4 linked regions of the Drosophila melanogaster genome follow. The protein of the gene in region 2 interacts with the protein of the main gene of each other region in a pairwise test. Each region holds a gene or a part of one and is shown on either strand. Other genes may lie near its edges.

Region 1 (4,411 bases), on a different chromosome or scaffold from region 2:
CATATCGAATCTCTCCCACAATAAAGCAACTTTGACGTCTTTTTGGCGCTTTAATATACAATTAATTCACATTCACGATAGTTGCTCACATCCTTTCAATCACTTTGTGCAGAAGCAGCCGGCAGTTACGGTGACCGTTTTGAACTGCCAAGGTTGATCCTTGTTCATCCACGAATAGGGGTGATCGGACTGAGAGGTCTGTGCCAGGACCTTTACCTTATATTCCAGTGGCCTGCAATTGGATCCATGCGAGCACTTGGCCAGATCCCGACCAGCGCCCGATTCGCAAACGGCATTCATCAGAAAGCGAGGGAAGTGCAGACCACCCAGATCCACGAGCTCATTCTGGGAATAACAAAATAATTATAAACATCTGACGCGGCTGAATGGTATCCCAACGAACCGTAACTTTGCAGTCGCAGCCTGCGGAATGGACATCATTGCGTTTGGTGGTCACCAGATCCTCATAGAAATCGTTATAGTACATGGGCGGCAGCTGATGGGGCATGACCATCGCCATCTCTGTGGGATGTGGAGTGCTGGGACTGAATCCGAATAGGGCACTGAGCATTTTCGATGTACTGCGATCGGGCTGCTGCTCCTCCGCGCGGTGTTCCAGACTCCTTAGACCCACCATCTCGTCCAAACCTTCATCGCTGGCGTACTGACTGGCGATTCCTTTATTTGTCAGGCTAAGCAGCGCCATTGCCATAATGGAAATGGGCAACTTGGAACGGAAGGGTTTTAAAATGAATTCAGTTCGGAGTATATCCTTGTGCGCCCTCCTTTGTAATTTCGTTTCTATATCTTTCGGCTCTCATCCAGATGAAACTTACCCACGGCATCATGCTCGATCTGTGCCTGACCAGCGCTGTACTCCTTCTGCAGCTCTGGCCAAGGAGTCGCCATACTTTTATATCCATTTAGGACAAAAGCCGCCTCTCGGATTACCTTTTGTGCCAGAGATGAGAGCAGCAGCATCCATTACGGTTCGTCACCTGGACAGGATGGAACAATGGACTCCACAGTTGACACCACAACAATGGCAAGCCATGCCAAGCTCAAGTGGCCCGGCTGATGGGGTTGAGTCCCTCGGCTATTTATACTCCTCTGCTGCTTTCAATGCTTCAATGGGGGAAATGGCTTTAAGGCCTCAAGTGCCGGCAGAGGTGGAGAACTTTGGGCGGTGGGAGTAGCCAAAAGAAGCCCACTGACCCAGACATGTGTGCAGAGGCAAAGGGCAATCCGATCTCCTCCCATCGATAACGTTGACCAGGGTGGGTTTCTGGATTTTTGGTTTCCGAAACGGCTCCGAAACTTTTTCCATAGCATACTTTTGAGTGAGGAGCTGTGGGAAATGCAATTCCGATTGTATTTTACTTGTCGGATTTCCCCCAAATGGATGACATTTCCGTTTCATGGTCTTGTTTAAAGAATATTGTTTTTATAATGTGCAAAGGCAGATGAATGGTAAAAATAGTGGTTTATAGTCTTATGTAGAATTCTTAAACATTTTCCAGCTATGCACATCCTCCGAAGGCACCATGAGTTGCCATAAATTATGAGCTCACTATGTCTCCCACTTGGGCCAGTTTGGGTGAGGAGCACCGCCACTGGCATAACAAGCCCGGCTAGAACGACTGTCCAAGAGGCTAGACCGGGTCAGACCTCTTAGGCACATAGTATATACCCCTGTTCGTAGGGAGCCCGCGAGTGTGCGAGTGCCAGTGGACTGTGGTCGACTTCTACGGCTTCTGTCGACGGACAGCACGCACTGTCACTGTTCCCCGTGGAAATCCAAAATCCTCCTCAGTCGAATTCGCGTCGTCGAGGCAAGAACAGTGCCCGTGCCACAAGGTTGGACATGCACAGCTGGACAATCTGACATCGCTTAGCCATCAGCAGCTACATAGGTTCGAGCAAGGGAAGTCGGGACTTGGAATCGGAATCAGAATAAAAAACCAGGAGCGGAGGAGATGCAGATTCCGCTGGTGGGCGACTTATGCTGAGCTCCGCAGCTGCCTGTCTCCAAAGACTTCATCCGTGCTTTCGCCGTTGTTGTTGTGCAGTTTTTCCGCCGTGGAATTTGTCGAAGCGGAAAAGCGAGAAGAAGCAGCGACGCGAAGCCCTCGAAGTGTCGACGAAAATCGTTAAAAAATAGAAAAACACACGGCGACTATGTCACGACGCGCTTGAAGAGCCCCATCCTCGCTGAGGGAGATATTGAGATTGAGCGGGATCCACACCTCAGTGGCCACTACTCGCCACCCACTCCGCCAACGTCAACGTTCACCAACAGGAAGCTCAGGATTCGCATGGACAAAGGCACAATGAAGCGCAAGCAGCGGAGATACAGGTATAGCAGATACATTCGAAATGTACATATATCGCGGTATAAATCCAAAAACTGGACTAGTTTCATAAGTATCTACTAAAGCTATAGGTGCACTAACACTAGTTTTCCTAATGATCCGCAGAACCACATTTAACACACTGCAACTGCAGGAGCTGGAAAGGGCGTTCCAGCGGACACACTATCCGGACGTGTTTTTCCGAGAGGAGCTGGCCGTGAGGATCGATTTGACGGAGGCGAGGGTGCAGGTGTGGTTCCAGAACCGGCGGGCCAAGTGGCGCAAGCAGGAGAAGATCGGTGGGCTTGGCGGAGATTATAAGGAGGGTGCGTTGGATCTCGACGTGTCCTACGACGACAGCGCCGTCCTGGGCCAACTGGATAGTGCGCTGGGTAAGAAAGGATATCTCTGTTACCTATCAACCCATCGCTAGTAATGACCCATATTGATTTCAGGCGGCGGTGGAACTCTATTGCCGGACACCCCACCGCAATCCTCGAACTCCCTTGATAACGAACTTAAGGCCTCCTACGGCACGGGGGCCATGTCGCCCTCTAGGCTGTCACCGAATATATTTCTCAACCTCAACATTGACCACTTGGGACTGGAGCGGGGTGGCAGTGGCCTCTCCATGGAGTGGTCCACATATCCTCCGCAAACGCAAGCGCAGACACACCCGCAGATGGACTCCGACAATCAGCTCCAGCAGCACCCGCCTCAACAGCATGCATCCGATCCGATTCACGCCGGGAGTTCGAGTCATCACCAGCAGCAGCAGCAGCAGCACCAGCAGGAGCAGCACAATCCCCAGCTTCATCCGGGGCTTGAGTTTGCCGCCTCATTGAGTTTGGACATGACCGATGGCTCCTCCGCCTACGACGAGATGAAGTTTCTCAGCGTGGACGTGGACCAGTTCACGATCGACAGCTTCAAGGCGGACTGCATTCTGAGCATGGAGCAGTCCCAGATGCAGGCCTACGGCGGTCACTCCCAGCTGGTCGGATCATCCAATGAACTGTGCCTGGACGGGATTGGCATGTCCTCCTTTGGCATGGAAGAGGGTGAGCCCAAGTCGCCTCCCTCTCTTTTGGTGCTGGACAAGTCGCTGCCCTCTTTGAGCATAGGCGTGGAAGGAATCGCTGATCTCGTGGAGCAACTGCATCATCACCAGCATGAGGGCGGCCCAGTGGGCGGTGGTGTCATCACTGGCGATGTCATGTGAATCCAACTTAGGCGAATTCTCAGTTTCTCAGCGGTAAACTGAAGTGCGAAACCTGCTCTAGTTATATTCTTGTTTTCTAGTCAATGTTAATGTCTAAGTTCAAGACCCAACAAGGTCGCCACACTTGACTACAAATATTTGGATGGTTAACTTACAAAAATTTTAGTACTAAATACTAGTTTATCTGAAGTTGTATTACTTTAGTCCTGGAAATGTGTCTTGATAAATAGCAAAGTGGTTTACATAAAGAGAACCTGTAAGTTTATAACATTTGAAAACAACGAGAATTGTTGAAAAAGAATATTTTTCGTAGTGTACATTTGTGAATTTCGAAACATTCGAATCGAATCGAAACGAAACGGAACGGAACGGGTCCTTGACTACGAGCACGGGTACCTTTTCTGGCCAGGCTCAGCCATAGCTTCTATGGATTCCGCATGTGTGTGCCAAACAAAGGAACCCCCCCCCCCTACGCCCCTGCCACGTCCCCTACCCTCTGCACACGCCTTATTTGTGGCTCGGATTAGAGGCAAGCTAGTTGTGCGATTTGAATGGATTTCGGCTTCCAGTGCTGTTTGTTCGGCAATAACATTTGCTTTGCTTTTTAACAATTACCAAAGACCGCTCCACGCTCCTCCCTGACCTGCCCACTGGTTGGCTGTAATTTCCATTTACTCCTATTAACGAGGATTTCTGTAGCTCCTGATCCTAAGCATCCTCAACGAACAACTCCTACGCTCCATTAAGTGAAAAGCTCACAGCAGAGATGATAAATATGGTGAAATTTAATGAAATTGTCAGTTAGTTCTAAAGTACTACAATAGATATGCTATTCTCA
Region 2 (4,086 bases):
TAAAGGAAGGGCGTGGCCAAAGTGTTTTTTGGAATACCTACAGAAATTAACAAGACAAACAATAAAATATGGGTCAACAAACTTGCGCTTTTATAGTTCATGATCGATTCGCTATGATCCTGATCAAGAACATATATATATACCTTATACATTCGGAAACGCGTTCTTCTGCCTGTTACATACTTTTCAACGAATCTAATCGTTATACGGTTATATTTCCTTTTAATTTGGCCACTTTGTAATTCAAAAAGCACACAGAAGAAACATTTATAAAATATAATAAAAAATAAAAATAGCGAGGATTAAATTAGCAGACTTTAATTTCGCCAAACTACACAATAATATATATATAATTTTTATCAATTGAACTCTCGATATATGTTGCTAGTCAAGTGTCTTTACCTGTGTAAAAATTAATTAGGTTACTTAAACCAAAACTGATAAAACCCATACAGGCGCATAAAAAGAAAAATAGAAGACCAAAAAATTCAACAAACCAAGTAAAATGTACGTTTTTTATATTTATGAGAAGATTAACTTATAATTGGTGAATTATTAATGTAGCTTATTAGCTTATTTAATCTTGTGGAACTCCTCCATGCATAGCTTGCAGCTCCAAGAACCCTCTGGTGGAGTCACAAGCGGTGGTGACAGGCAGTACATATGGTATCCCCGGTCACAATCGTCACAAAATAAAAGTTGATCGTCATTATCAGAGGTCCCACAGATGGAGCAGTACTTGCATTCAATGCATTGCCAACGATAACGTTTTACCGATATAATCATATTTGCCGTGAACTGCAGACACGATGGATGACCGGAACGACCACAGTCCGAGCACGATACTAGCTCTTCGGGCATATTGGTTTTTTTATTTTCTCGTTGATCTCCCAGACAAAAGTCACAATAAGGTGATGGTTGCGCTATGTCACGTTCTACACGTTGTTTGACCTTATTACCAGTAGCAAACACCGTTTGATTTGTTCCTGTTTGCACCGGATGCGCATTGCAAACATTTGAGGTTGTCAGGCCCGCGTTTATGGCAACCATTGTTGCTAGGGGAATTGAGTCATTGGAAGCTCCAGCATCGCTTGAAGTCTTATCGTACGACGACGATATGTTTGTTGGCAGTATGAGTCCTGACTGTGAATTGTCGTCATTTATGGGAATAGGCGAAGCTGAGTTGGAATGAGATGCATAGAGCCCAGTGCTAGCGACAGCAGCTGCAGTACATGCTGCATGTGCGACAGCGGCGGCAGCTGCCGCTGCGGCTGCGGATGTATTTGCACTATTTCCACCGGCTCTACGTTTTCGATCAGATTCTCCCTCAACGGCGTTCTTTCGACGATTGCCTAGGGTATCAATAACGTTTACAATTCATCAGCTTAATAAACTTGTACTCACCACCACCTTTACGTCCCCGTTTGGGAGTACCCTCTACGTTTGCATTTGTTCGTCTAGGACGCGAACACTTTTTGCGTTTGCCCCGGCTGGTGTAAGACTCATCAAAATCGTTATCTGAATCAAAGTCATCCTCAAATTCATCGCCATGATGAAAATGTGATGTGTCCATTTCATCGTGGAACCATTCTTTTTCGACGTTTGCATGTGAGTCCTTACTATCATTATCTCCTGATGCTCCCATGGAGTTGCCATCCGTAGCAGCAATGGCTGTAAATAAAAACCCATAATAAATATAAATGTCAGATGTATAAAATATTGACTTTCATCCGACGATAAGCTGCAATTTTTTACCTGCGCTTTCAGCTAAGTGAGGATTTTGTGGTACAGCAACGCCAGACGAAGGTATATGATGGTGATGCTGATGCGTTTGATGGTGGGAGTGCTGAAGGTTGTGCTCGCGATACTGATAGGCTCGGAAACTTTGATTCGGGTTAAGTAAGTACTGACGTTTTGGTTTGCGCCACCGAGACGATGGATAAGTGTATATCTGACCATGTCGAAGACCTGGCATTCGCTGTTTTTTTTTCATAAAGAGGGAGCAATGTGTCTGTGCGACACCTGTCTGGGGATCGAGGAATGGCATGCGAAGTCGACGTTCAATGCATAGACGAGTGTTGAAATTCTCGCTGTTTTCTAGAATCTCCTTGTACTTTTCCTTGTCATTTAAAAAGTTCTGAATTTTTTCAAAATTGGCAATGTTTACTACCAAAGTTTTTTCGTACGCAGATTTGGAAGCCATGTTGATGCCGAGTGGTAGCCGCAGGAATTATTTGGTTAAGCAATAGCTAAACTAAAGAGCTAAATTGTCAACATATTTTTTTGTCATTGATAAAATTTATGTTTCTTCACACACAATTCAAGCTGATACAAATAACAAAATATAGAATTGTTATGGGGCACTAGGCAAGAAGTACAAAATTAAATATTTAGAAAAGGTGTGAACGTATTTCTATTTTAAAATAGATACAAAATGTATATCAAAGTTCTCGACCATAGTTATAATAAGTTATTTCCACAAGTGCTCCCTAATGCGCAATTCACAACTTCTTGATACGTAACAATAAGTTAACATTAACAATAAGTTCTGTAGCAAAAGTTCTTGATCCAGTGCTAAGAAATAAACATTGCATTAAAAGAATTTATTTATTTTTTTTTGTTTTTATACCATTGATGCTATATTTTTTAATTCCGAATTTTTATCGCATTGAAGGAGAATTTTCGGAGTGTGAAAGTCTCTTAATGCTTAACGGCTGGTCATATCGTCTCGAATTAGTCATGTTCAAAATGTACTGAGTTTGACTTTTAAATAGTTATTCAAAATTTTTTTTAAGAATATATGTTATTTATCCAATTTAGCCATATTGATGAAAATGATAAACATAACCCTCTTCATGAAAACCACTTCTTTATTTCTATTCACACTGGTGAAATTTATTCAGTCGTTTTGAATTTGACAATTCTATTTGAATTTTTTGATGTAGATGTATAGCAAGTGTATTAAAACAAATACAAAAACATTTAAAACACGAAATCAACACCGCAGGGGTCGATAGTTAAATCGAAGTTTTAAAGTCTGTATACATTAGATATAAATTTATTAAAGATCAATCATTCGCCAGAAGTTAAACCATAGGCGTTGGATCTCATTAAATTGTACCGCAAACTTCCTTGACAAGGATACCATCTGCTCCATTTCTAAACCCGCTACTCGTAGACTAAAAGGGTACACTGGATTCGTTAAAAAATAGGTAACAACCCGAAGGAACGGTTTCTGATCACATAAAGTATATATATTCTTGATCCGATTAATAGCCGAGTTGAATTGGCCATGTCCGTCCGCATGAACGTCGAAAGCTCAGGAACTATTAAAGCTATAAGGTTGAGATTAAGCATGCAGATCCAGAAGCATTCACAAACTGCTTAAGACTGCCAGGCTAATATATTAAAAAAATGTTTTGATATTTGTATATTTTTCCGTTAGTTTTGTAAATTTCTATCGATATGCGAAAAAAAAGTAAACGTGTCCGATCTGATAAATTAAGAATTATAGATCAGGATTATTCTTGGACGCTCGTACCAGTAAGTGTATATTAAAAAGTTGCCAGGATCATTTATTGGGCAACAAAATGTAGCGATAATAATCGGAAAATCGTCTGTATCCGTGGAAAGTACTGATCGAGACCAGAATGGCGGGATTTTGGCTTGGATACTTTCAACGAGTGTATAAAAGGCGGAACGCTGGACGAAGGCAGGCACGAAAACAAACAAAATTCTATGTGCAGTACCGTGAAAATGAAAAAACGGTATTTTTAAGCACCTCAGAGTTCCACGCTAAAGAGTTAGCCAACCACAGGGGCCCGCCATGAAAAGCAGCCGAAAAAAATTTTGGCCTCAAACCTCACATATGTAAATTAACTTTTTGCGGTATAAATTATTTTAAAAAATAATTTTTTATTTTTTAGTATTTTTATTGGTGTTAAACTTTTCAACTTATCACTTTATTACAAGACACTTATTGTTATCTATTTATACACTAATAAACCGTTCTTTTAATCCTCCCGAATCAGACTGATCTTCAAATTCTGAATCCTAATCCAATCAACCTCGGCCAGAAGCTTTTCT
Region 3 (7,460 bases), about 19 Mb from region 2:
TGGATCCATCCATGCAGAACTATGGCAAACTTGTCCGTGGGCGAGCAACCCGAGCCACTGAGATCGTAGGCATCGTCGTAGGCCGAAGTCTCCATGGTTTTGGTGTTGTTCTTGTAGAACATCACCTTCATGGTCTTCTGGGCATCATATTTGATTCTCTGCTGGTGGGCTTCATAAACAAAAACATCGACATGATACGCTCGTCCAGCAGAAACTTTCTCCCACATCCATACCCAAAGTGTCATTTTGCGTTGCCTTTGCTGCTTGCTTTTGCCTCAAAATGGCATATTTAAGATTCAGTTTCGAGTGCGTTCCATCAATTAAGAGAACACAGCAAACAATTAGGATTGAGTGGAAACTACTGAACAACTGCATTATCTGGTCATCTGGATGGTTAGCTGAAAATAAAAAGTAACAACAGTGCAAACCGCGTAGAAAACCAGTTTTCTGTGCCGAAGAGATACAAATTCGATATGGTATACGGCAATCGATGAAGAATGGGGTTTGGCGCCAAAAGAGGCTGCATTCAAAAGTGGCGCTTTCTATTAAATATTGCATTTTCTTTATTTCAATTTAAACGATTCCGCTTCTCCTATGTAGAGCACTTTTCATTGTCATCAAAATCTAGGGAGTTGAGAACATTGACGTCCAGTTCTGGGTCCGCGTACTCCAGGATATTGAAGTCGTCTCCCATTTCGGAAGTGAGCGACTTGAGTAGGTCGTCGTCGTCGCCCTCGCCGAGTCCTCCCAGAAGGTCGCTGAATCCGACATTCTCCAACTCCACGGCGGAAGAGGTTGCCTCCTGCGGCTCGCCCAACTTCACATCCTGCTCCAAGGACCTGCCTTCAGATGGCTGAGATTTTCCACTTATGCTCAGCATGGGATTGTTCTGCGTAATGGGTGTGTTCTGCATCATTCCCAGCCGCATTACATCGTTGCCCAAGAACAAGTCCGAGTTGGCCCCCATGAGCATCGGCTCCGTGCTGTTCTTCTGCAGCAGGTTCCTGAGCTTCTTGTCGCCAATGGGTTCCGTGCCGTACACCGCCGTGTTCAACTCCAGCCTATTGTCCACGGTGGTCATTTTCAAGGTGCTGGCTGCTGTCGTGTGCACCTGAGTCCTTTGCATCGTGGCCTTAATCACCAGATTATCGTTAACGTTCGGCATCACGTGATGCGGATTGGGATTATTGGACGCTGCCTGCGCCGAGCCACCAACATAGTTGCCCATATCGTAGGCGTTTCCATCTAGACGAAAAAACAAGGGTTAGAGCAACTAAAACAAGTCTTGAGCTGCAGCACTTACTGTACGTGACAAACATGTTCGGCTGGTCTTCCTTCAGCTTGGGCGGTTGTTTCCACACTCTTCCCATTTCCTCCTGCTTCTGTGGTTTCGGTGGCATAGGTATTTTGTTCTGTTCCCGCCTCTGCCGCAGTGCTGAGCGATTGTCCTTGGCCTTCTGCAAGAACGGCGCCTTCTTCTCGTTGCACAGCGAGCGCCACCTCTTCAGAATCTGCTTGCAGCGGTCGTTCCAAATCGGAAACAACTCCTTCAGGTTGGGATGCTCAGTATTGGCATACAGCACGGCCGAAATGGTGGCCATGAGCCCAAGATCTGCAAAACAAATGGGGTGATGAGCATTTGAATCCTACACTATTTAAATGCACCCTCATACCCTCATCCTTGCGCATTTTCTCCGCCGTCTTTTGAGTGCCAGCGTTCAGGGTTTCCGTCACGGGCTCCACAACCTTCTGCTCCTCCTCTGGTCTCTTTTCGGTTTGCAAAACGACTTGGCTCATTATAGTTTGCATATTCTGCTTATTGGCATTTTGTGGTGCCTGCTGACGGAACTGAAGCTGCTGGGCGGGATTAACCAAAGTATTTCCGCCCAAATATAGCTGATTGTGAAACTTCTGTTCCTGTGGCAACTGGTTGGGGACCATGAAACTGTCGACCAGGACCGCAGGTGATTCCCTTTGAGAAAGAAAAAAGAACAAATTAATAAGCTTAGAATAGACTGGCATATGGACATGAGGCTCACCGCATTGGTTTTTCAATGACTTCAGCTGATGGAACCGTACTAACAGAGTTAGCCATGTCCAGTTCCGGAACATTTGGTGAAGCCAACGCATCCAAAGGATGCCGGTTAGCAAAGACAGTGTTCGAAATCTCCGCTTGCAAGGGATCTGCAAAAATGGTAAACGATACAACCTGGGAATAAAGTGGTCAGTGGGTTGGTTAAACATTTACCAAAAACATTAGACACTGGCGTCGTTCCGTTTTTGTTCTGGATTCCCATGGGCATTTGCTGAATGAAAACAGTTTTGTTCTCAGTTTTCAACTCAGCTTTAACTTTCTTCACGGTCTTCGCTGGACTCTTGTTCACCGCCAGTGTGTCCTGGTTGGCAGGACTCTTGCCCTCGGGCCGCGTGAAGTAAACCTTCATGGACGCATCAATTTCGTCAGAGGAATCTGTATCGGCCATGACAAGCTCTCCACCTTCCAGCAGAGGTTTTCCGAAGAAGGCCTCTTGCAAGTACACGGGATAGGCTTCAATCAGCTTGTTCTTCTGCTTCTTTCGTATGATTTTCTTCTTTTTGTCCATGGTCATAAGGGAATTTATTTGGTCAACGGCCGTCGTCTCCTCGCTGTCCTTCTTGAGACCTCGGTTGCGAACGGAGAATCCACCAATGCCCAGCTTCTGCAGATTGCGCTGTCGCTTCTTGCGTAATATGTTCACTCCCTCGTCGTTAATGGAGATGGTGAAACCCTCGGGAATAGCGTTCTCCGTCCCATCCCAGACCATGCCGTCTTTGTACTTTTCCAGCGCTTCCTCGGCGGCGGCCTCCAATTGTCCATCCTTGCCATTGCCGAGGGCTTGTCGCATTTTGCGCTTGCGTTTGATCTCCGTGGACAATGACTTGATCATGCCCAATCCGCTTTCGCTCAGGCACACTCCGTCAATCCAGTGGAGCGCTTCTGGAGCAGACTCGGGCATATCGCCGGATAAGGTAGGATGATTTCGCTCGGCACCACTCTTAGAATCGAAAGACGGCCCGGAGGAGGCTGTGATGTGCACAAATGGTTTGCTGCCCTGGGGAGTTATGGCCAGCGAATCCTCGTTACCAAACTTGGCATCCGCCAGGGAGTTAGTGCTCCTCGTCGAGCAGCGGCACTTGAAACACTTGTACACATTGTTGTCGTAGTGGTCAATGGTCAGCTGGGCATTGACAGAGTCGCAGTGGAAGTGCGCCCATAGCTCGCAGTGCTCGCACTGGATGATCATCTCGCCGTTGCTGTACGAGACTTTGCAGACGGGACACGAGGATTGGCTGGTGCAGGATGGGCACTCGAGCATGTTGGAGTCCCCGAACTCGCTCTTCTCGGTGGGATTGCGACCGCATTTCTGGCACAGTGTACAGAACGAGCACTTCCAGTTGCCCGTGGGCACGGTTTCCAGCGGAGGATTCACACAGTAAATGTGATACGAAATGTCGCACTCGTCGCACAGGAGCAGGCGCGCCTCGTCGTTCTTCTTGCCACATCCCTCGCACACTGTGCAGTCCAGGCATCGCCAACCCTTCTGCAGGATGCCTCGCGAAGGCTTCACGCCGGCGCAGTACGGATGATAGCATTGGCCGCACTGTGCGCAGGTGATCATCACGGAATCGCTCTCAATGCCCAGCGAGCCGCACATTACGCAGATGTCTTGCGCTTGGATAAACTTATCCCGCGCCGAGCAGAGCAGCAGCTTTTTGTCGCTGGTCAGATCTGTTTCCATGCTGCGACTCAGGCAGCGATCGCTCGAGATGGTGGGCAGCGCAAGCTGGCGCCCCTTGCCTCGGGTGCTGCGTTTCTTGTTGATCTGCGACATCACACCCATGCGGTGTAGGACGAACTTTCCGCTTCTACCGCGAACACTCGTAAGGCACACTTTTTTCTTGCCGGTGGGTAGCTTGTGGAGCTCATCGCTCGATGGATCCATTGTGGGTTTGCCCTCCAGCGGGTCAAGTTCGATTTCCTTGAGGCTCAGTTGCTCCGACGACGAATCCATGGCGGACAGCACGATCGAGTCGATTGTCTGTTGGGATGATCCCGGGCCCGACGAATTACTCTTGCAATTCGGACACACGTAGTCGTAATCTGGGTTTTGCTCCTTCTTCTTGTGGTAGGCCGTTAAATCCGCCTCTTCGTCACACGTACTGTGCACAAATCTGAAACGAATCCATATAATAAGCAAGACTAATCAGGCAGAAGCGAGTGAAACGTACTTGTTGCACCAGCTGCACTTGACCATTTCCTTGTGCGATGCTGCCCTGTACGCTTTCTGGCAAATCGGGCAGGAAAAGCCCTTGTTCCGCTGCTGATAGCACGAATCGCAGATTGTGTAGTGGCTATGCCAGCGGGAGGAGCTGCCGCCGCCAGGAGTTCTTGAACCACAATCCGTACAGACGCGACAGCGCTAGAAGGAACATAAATACCATAAGTATTGGATAACACTTAATATCCGTCAATATCTGCTTACATTGCACTTCCAGCCATATTTGGGGATGGCTGAGATAACTGGTCGCAAGCAGGAGGCGTGGTAAGTCTTCTGGCATTGCTCACACTTAACGTACTTGGTGTCGTTCGAGTCTTGCTGCCTGCAAATCTGGCATTTTGTGCAACGGGCGCAGTTCCACCCAGAACGCGTATCTATGGAAGCATTAAACATGTAAACATGTAAACCAATGGTACGATGGTACTTGACAGTAGTTACCCGGCAAATTGGCCAGACCAATGCAGGTCGAATGAAAGTGGTCTCCGCAGGTACTACACATGATCAGCTTGGACAGATCCCCCAGCGAGGAGCAGGACAGACACTCCACATTATTGTCGCTGCCTGTAAGTCATTTGTTTCCATTAGTTTCTGTGAGAGTTTGCTGCCCAAGAATCACTTACATATCACAGGCACCTGGCTCAAATGTTCCGTGCAGAAGACCGTAAAGCTCTCGAGGATCAGAAGGCACCCAGCAGCGGCGGCACACGGCCAATGGTGCACCTGGCGGCAGTTCATCTTGCAGTTGATGGAGGCCCCGTAGCGTCCACAAAAGTTGCACTTTTGCTCCAGGAACTCCGCGAAGTGGGTGGCAAAGTACGCGCCATCTGCATCGCTTATCTGACTTTTGCGCAGCGACCACATGATGCACATGCGGTGCACGTAGACGAACCCCTCGTCAAGAAATTCGGCGGGATGCACGACGTCCGGCTGTCCAATCTTGTCCAGCTCGTAGTGACAATCGCCCGAACTAGAAGCGGCCTGCTTAGGCCCGTATAACAGCCTGGATCCGTCCTCCCTCAGCCGATCCGTCGGATATTTATCCTTGATCTCGGCGGGCGCGGGCGCCTTCAGTTGTAGAATCTCGCCCTGGCCCAAGGCACTCTTCTCGCCGAGATTGCATAAACAGCACACCTTGCCCGGAAACTTCTCCGGGAAGTACGGCAGGTCGTCGGCCACCGCCTTCTCCTCCATGCTCACAACAACGTTCGTGCTCATCGCGGATTGATGCGTTTCATTAAAATAACAAAAAATAGCCGCCGCTTATTTTGTATACATTACTCGACAGCTAAATAAAATGTCAACGTGCATCGCGCCCCAATGTTATCGAACAGGCGTCAATGTTGTCGAGAACGATGTGCGTTCGTTTGCAGAGCGAGTAGTACAATTATTAGATATAAATATAAAAGTCTTCCTTATATTACAAAGTATTTATACTTTTAAATGGCAAATCAAATATAACATCATATTTTAATTTTTTTTATGCGGCTACAAATTAATTAATTAATTTCTGAAATTATACATTATAAATAATAATACACTTACATTAGGCTGTCACGCCTACATATCGATATACCTTTACCAATCGCATTCAGCTGATCAAAGTGCAACTCTGCAATCCAGCCCTGGAAAAATACCGTACTCCAGTTCTTCAAACTGGAAAAATGATGGCACAACTAAGTTAAACACACAGAAGTAGAAAATGTAAATAAAAGCACAATTATAGACTATTCTGTTAGCATGGCTGTGTATCGTCCCCGCGGCACCCTGGCCAGGGTAATCCACGCCAAATTCCACAACGACAACTCTCTGGAGGACATAGACACTCGGAAGGTAACTCGAAATCCCGAAACAATATGATTTTTCCTAAATTCTGGATGCATTTCAGTGGTACTGCCTGAACCACGAGCTGCCGCCGAGATTCCAGTCCAAGTTCGTGCCGCTCGAGCCGGATGCCACCACCGTGAGCTGGCTGGAGCGCACCAAGGCGCTTTCGGCAAACATCTGGACCCACTTGTGGCACGCCCTGGCTCGCTCAATCCTGCAGTTCTTCATGACCCAGACGGACATCAACGGGTTCCTGAAGCGCGGCTCCATGTTCATACTGTCCGAGGAACAGTTTCGCAAGCTGCTAGTAGCAGGCGGCTTTCAGCCTGCCAGCGGTCAAGAACCTGTAAGATGAGTAAAAGCCTTTAGTCTTGACCACTACTCATCTGCCATCATATCGTAGGTCACGTTGCTGGATATCGGAGCCGGGGACGGTGAGATTTCGCTGCGCGTGGCCAACACCGTTTCCGAGCTGAGCGGAAGTGCCGGGCTGCGGGTCTTCGCCACCGAGGCCAGTTGGACCATGCGCGATCGGCTGAAGAAGCTGAACTTCAACGTAATCACCGAGATAGACGGTCTGCAGAACCTGGAATTGATTCTGTGCCTCAACGTATTGGACCGCTGCTTCGATTCATTCAAGCTGCTCGAGGACATTCACCTGGCACTAGCTCCCAATGGTCGAGCAGTTGTGGCCTTAGTACTTCCCTACATGCACTACGTGGAGACGAATACCTCGCATCTGCCGCTGCGCCCGCTGCTGGAGAACAACGGGCGACAGGCGTCGTTCGAGGAGGAGGCGGCCAGGTTTATGGAGCTGCTGGAGAACTGTGGCTACCGCGTGGAGGCATGGACCAAGGCGCCGTACTTGTGCGAGGGTGATCTCCACCAGTCGTTCTATTGGTTAATCGATTTAATTGTTGTCATTTCCAAGAAGACATTCTAGATCAAAGCTTCCACATCCTAAAAAGAACCCTTCTGAAGTTATTGTAACCGTTTTCCTCGTAGAGTTAAGTGGCTGCATTGAGAAACTGAGCATTTATACTTATTACAAATGTAGGCTATCAACTAGTTAAACAATTTATTCTTAAAGAATTACCAAAAATGTAAATGGATAAACAAACATGTTTAAATTAAAGGGCGACATTCAAAGCCGCGTTCGAAACTGAATACTGTTCTCGATATTATCAACTAATTGTAGTTATTCTACAGTCTTGGGTAGTTTTAATGCATCTAACTTGATACTTGTGGCAGTAATCAGGTAACTTAGAATATGTATTTGACGAGCAGCTGTTTAATAACAAATGTCAGTATTGTCGA
Region 4 (4,934 bases), on a different chromosome or scaffold from region 2:
CGCGAAACCGTGACAATTTTCGGCACAGCGGTGCACTTTTTCAGAAAGCAGGAAAATCATCGAGGAGATCTTCCATCTCTGGGTCCCAAAGACTCAGAACCGCAGTTCGTGGTGGAGCTGGAGTGGTAAGCCAGATTGCACTCAGCTAGAAAGAAGATCTCTGAATGGAGGAGTTTTGGGGAAATGGATTCATAAGCATCGTGTTAGCCGAAAAATGAGTATAATTACATCAAATAGGTGCATTTACCTTCGACATTGGGAACAACCTATATTACTGCTGCACTGCTTTCATAAATAAGCACTCATAAAACTAAATATTTATGCACTTAATATGCATAGAAGTGCTGTAAATTGCAATACATCTCGCCGTACCTGAACTTCGTAGATAAAGAACCAAAAAGTCAAAAATCATTTCGATCCTTATTGAGAAACCCGATTGAAATCCAATTGAGCGGCACGCTCGAGCTATAAACTTGCAGATCCCTATCCGCAGGCGGCATCTCAATCTTTTTGGCTTTATCACGACGACAACGACCAAGGCCACTGATCCACGTAACCGGGCGCATATTTGAGAGTCTTGTTCTTGGGGCATCTTTAGGACCCCTTTAAGTCAGCGCATAGAAGTAGTAGATGTCATGGAGGAGTACATAATTCCCATGCTTCGAGCTAATTACAAGTCCTCAAGCCGAGCCCAAATTTAAGGTGAATGCAATGCTTAGGTCCGATGGCCAGTTCGATTTGTGGGAAAACAATGAGTAGACGAGAGTTGTGCCAAAGACATTCTAGTGTCTTTGGTTGTGCCAATTCGAAATATTTGACTCTGCAGGTTCCTTTCAAATTTAAAAACAGAATCCCCATTGTTCATTTCTGAGTGTATATCGAACCGAACAGATCAGACCAGATATAGGAACGATCTTGGCTGTCAGACTTATCGATTAAGCCAAGATTAATGTTACACATTGGGCAGAAACAGACAATTAATTAGAAACCTAAACTGCTACAGAAACTACAACTGTATATTGATCGCAAGCCAAGTGGAGGAGATTGTTCGGATCTAATCTATGGAGATCTGCAGATGAACTCGATGGGGACAAGTTCAGAGCGGCTTAGACAATAAGAACCAGATCAGTTGGTCGCTGCCACATTCTCAACAAGCTCATCAACTCGCTGTTGACAGAGCTGAAAAAAAGTGGGCAGAACGTTGGACTTCTCTCAATAGGAATAATAAACAAGGTCCCAAAAAAATGTGTCCTTTAAAGCAAACAAAATGATGGACAATGCCAAATCTGATAAAGGCAACAGAGGGAGAAAAGGTGTTCAAACAAGCAAACCACGATTGTCTCAAATATTTTGAAGCCGCTACAAAATAGAACAAGAATCAAGAACACAGCCCACTGAACCGAACCCCGGAGCATTGACACAATCTGCAATCCAAATCCAAGTCCAAGCCCTAACCCAAACCCAAACCCAAGCCCAAACCCTTCCTACACCCGAATCGCCTTCCATCTCGCGCACAATTGCCGGTAATATGCTTTATTATTAGCCCTGCCAACCACTGGAGACGGACATTCGCAGTATGCAAATCCACTCAGCAGTCACACGCTCTAGTTTGAATTGTCTGCTTCCGCAATTCTTGATCTGCGATCCTCCATCCTCCATCCTCCATCCTCCATCCTCCATCCTCCATCCTCCATCCTCCATCCTCCATCCTTGATCCTTCTTCCTTCGCGATCGAGGATCCACGATCCAGTCGCTTCAGGCTGCCCCTGGCCCTTTTCTGCTTGATTGCCGACAGCAGTTGGACAATTAAATGTTTGAATATCTCCCATCTTTGTCCATTCGCAGCCCCTATTGTAGAAATTTCTTGACACTTATCGCACAAAAGGCAATAACATTATTAATGAGCATGTCAATGAGCTTCTTTTGTCTTCACCATTACACTTTTTCTGGTTCTCCTTGGTCCTCCTTAGTGGTGTGAGTACGAACTCATGGGAGTTAAGCTTGGTCCTTGATAGCTGGGGATAGTTGGGCCATTTCTTCGCAACAGATTTGTCTTTTTATTGTTGGTTTTTTGTTTTGATTTTAATAGTTTGTACTAAGTATTTCAATTATTGCTAAAAATATTATTAAATTGTATAATTTCAGTCTTTAATTGGTTTGGTTTTTATAATGCAATTGTTTTCGGTATTAATCTTTTATTTGCGATTTATTTTGACTTACAACAACCATCCGACAAATTTATGGAAATTATGCAAAATGGTTTTTATTCAATTAAGCCTTTAATATATATATTGCTTGTATTTATCTATTGTTTTAGCGTTTGAATTATGTGTCCAGCATCTCAACTTGTTGTTGTCTCATTAATTCAATGAATAAATGTTTTATTTATTCTCTTAATATGTTTTGTTTGTCAGCAGGGAGACTTAGCCATTTTTTAATAGCATAAGCTCATATACAACAAAATCTTACCTTTTCCAGATCATATATTTCCACAACAGCATAAATTCGATGTTTTTACCAACTCACTATTTATTTATTTTTTCCTCTTTAGATGTTAATTTTTCCAGTTTTTTTTTTAACTTCACACACTGGGATACGTTTGAATGAAAATCAACTGATTATATCAAACACACTCTTCACATGACACCTTAAATCCGAATTATCGCTGATGATATAGCGACGGCTTTCGAAGGAGATTTCAGCAATCACGTGGCGCACATAGTGCCGAAAAACTTCGCGATCGGTCGGATATAATGCGATTGCGAGAGCGAGAGAACAGCGAAAGCCTGACTGACGGTGCTTGGCAGCGTAGCGTCCATCCGAGACTAAATCGTCGCCGTCGTTCTGAGCGCCAAACAGACTCGAACTGGCAGCGCGGCCCTGGCCTCAAAGATCATCTTACCCCAGCAGCAGCAGCATCTGCAGCGCGGCAGCACGAACAGCAGCACTAACAGCAACAGCAGCGGCAACAAGACAACAAAGCGCACGCGTCGCTAGATTGTGTGCGTGCGTTTGCAACAGTGGCAGGGCACGGCGAAACTTAACTGTTAATCGGCGGCCGTCGCTGCAGGAAATCCTGTTTGGCAAACAGCTGCTGTGGCGAATGGTGCGCGTGCTCCGTTCTGCCGGTTTAACAGCAATGTTATGGCGGTAAGATCTGTTGACTGAACTGTTAACGAAACAAGATTTGTTATTTTCGGGAGAATTTTAAAACAATTATATTAAATATATATTATTAAATAATATATTAAAGATATTATTGACAAGTTAGTACCCTGAAAAAATGCAGTTTTTTGTTTCTACAACGCTAACTGAAATAAGTCAAAACGCATTTATGTATATTAAGAGTGCTAACATTTTTCTCCAAGTGCACCCTGCTACCGACCTCGCTTCGAACATGTTTGCTGTACGTTTCCAGCTCGGTTCGCGACTCTCCGCTCTCCGTAAATGTTAAAGCGTCGCATCTTCTGAGAGCTGAACTGTGGTTGGCTGTTGGCACCGGCACGATCTCCAAGCGTTTCGTTCGTTTCCATTGAATACTGTGTCGATGCGGTTGGCTGTTGGCTGATGTCTTTTTACCCCCGTTTGACTCTACACACGGTACTGTTATCATTTGAGTGTATTGGCCGCGAGAGTGTTGGCCCTGGTTTGCTTCGTTGTGCATGTGCATCCAATTGAACTCGTATTGGACGACTAATGTGGCAAGGAGGTGGGCACTTAATGCCCGGCGATCAGTGTAAACAAACATTGGGAGAAACCAAGAAAACATCAGAGGTTATTTGTGGCTTGACCTGCAAAATGGAGAAAACAAGTTCGCCTCCCTAGTCTTTCGTATATTTAAATATTTTTATGTGAATCTTTGTCGGATTGATAACGATTGGAGATGACCACATGGAAAACATATGCATAGATGTTGGTTTATTCTATCTGGGGGCACTGCAGAATTCTTTTAGGTTGAATACAAAATTCTGCCACTAATGGTATATATAAAGCTATATTCTTGTGAGCGTAAATAAAATAAAAGTTGCATGAGATTGTTTAACAAGGAATCAATTTTATTAGGGCTAAATGGTATCCATTTAAATACATTCGATACGGTACTTCAACAACAATTGCAAAATAATCAATGCTAGTTCTGTGCTGCTTAAATCGGATTGCCACCAGGCGCAAAATTGCCAGTGGAACAATCAACGCGTTTCCATATGTCTAATTGAATTCTCCTGTCATAAGCATGATCAGATGACTGCCTTCGTGCGCCGAGATGCCCACTAAAGTGATCCCCGGGCATTTGACCAGTCGTTGTCTGTCCCTCCATCTCAACTCATCTCAGCTCAGACTTAGACTCAGGCTCAGGCTCAGGCTCAGACTCCCGGCTTCTGTCACTTGGTGATGATGATGATTTCATTTTAATAACACCACTGGACGGAAGAAGAGTGCCACGGCGGAGATCGTTTAATACTCTGCATTCGCCGCGGCCGTGTCAACACCACTTGACGGAGTAACAAGGAAGCGCAACACTCTAAAACGACGTGTAATTTATCACAGCCAAAAGCATTTAGCCATGAACTGGAACGGAGACTCCGATTGCGACTGCAACTGAATCTGGCTAGTTTCTTGGAGTAGTTTCCTCTGGCTCTGCCTGTCAGTATAGTTGTCGTCATAATCTGCCAAGTGGCGATGCAGCTCCTGGAGCTGCTGCGGTGCAATTTGGTCGTCATATTAAAATTTCTTCAGCTCGTGGGCAATCTGAAATTTTCCCTCCGCTCTCTCCAAATTTTTAATTAAGTTTGGGCCTTGGCAACGGGCGCATGCGTATCTCGCCTGCTTGCGTGCTCATCTCTCAACTCGGTGATGAGTTGGGGCATTAGCTTAGATGGCTGCCCATATTTATTAGAGCGCAATCTGCCTCAAATTGTGGCCACTTGAAGCGATAC

What was found.
Region 1: the proteins of d4 (region 2) and Pph13 interact in a two-hybrid assay, tested with the Drosophila melanogaster proteins (one large-scale study listed by BioGRID).
Region 3: the proteins of d4 (region 2) and Lpt interact in a two-hybrid assay, tested with the Drosophila melanogaster proteins (one large-scale study listed by BioGRID).
Region 4: the proteins of d4 (region 2) and eg interact in a two-hybrid assay, tested with the Drosophila melanogaster proteins (one large-scale study listed by BioGRID).

What each region holds. Positions count from the first base shown.
Region 1 is NT_033779.5:575,678-580,088, forward strand, and holds Pph13 (PvuII-PstI homology 13), read left to right. Parts: upstream 1-1,808; 5' UTR 1,809-2,315; coding exon 2,316-2,356; intron 2,357-2,477; coding exon 2,478-2,743; intron 2,744-2,806; coding exon 2,807-3,573; 3' UTR 3,574-3,872; downstream 3,873-4,411. Other genes in the region: Ptth (prothoracicotropic hormone), read right to left, coding at 100-345, 404-727, 837-923.
Region 2 is NT_033778.4:5,292,382-5,296,467, reverse strand, and holds d4 (d4), read right to left. Parts: upstream 2,406-4,086; 5' UTR 2,204-2,405; coding exon 1,756-2,203; intron 1,672-1,755; coding exon 1,405-1,671; intron 1,353-1,404; coding exon 574-1,352; 3' UTR 503-573; downstream 1-502.
Region 3 is NT_033778.4:23,896,744-23,904,203, reverse strand, and holds Lpt (lost PHDs of trr), read right to left. Parts: upstream 5,644-7,460; 5' UTR 5,535-5,643; coding exon 4,940-5,534; intron 4,881-4,939; coding exon 4,758-4,880; intron 4,694-4,757; coding exon 4,524-4,693; intron 4,461-4,523; coding exon 4,270-4,460; intron 4,213-4,269; coding exon 2,249-4,212; intron 2,185-2,248; coding exon 2,040-2,184; intron 1,973-2,039; coding exon 1,674-1,972; intron 1,613-1,673; coding exon 1,304-1,612; intron 1,246-1,303; coding exon 593-1,245; 3' UTR 543-592; downstream 1-542. Other genes in the region: CG13562 (uncharacterized protein), read right to left, coding at 1-169, 234-375; CG5339 (uncharacterized protein), read left to right, coding at 6,057-6,149, 6,205-6,489, 6,547-7,086.
Region 4 is NT_037436.4:21,806,773-21,811,706, reverse strand, and holds the start of eg (eagle), read right to left. Parts: upstream 3,005-4,934; 5' UTR 2,903-3,004; intron 2,869-2,902; exon of another isoform or gene 2,470-2,868; intron 1-2,469.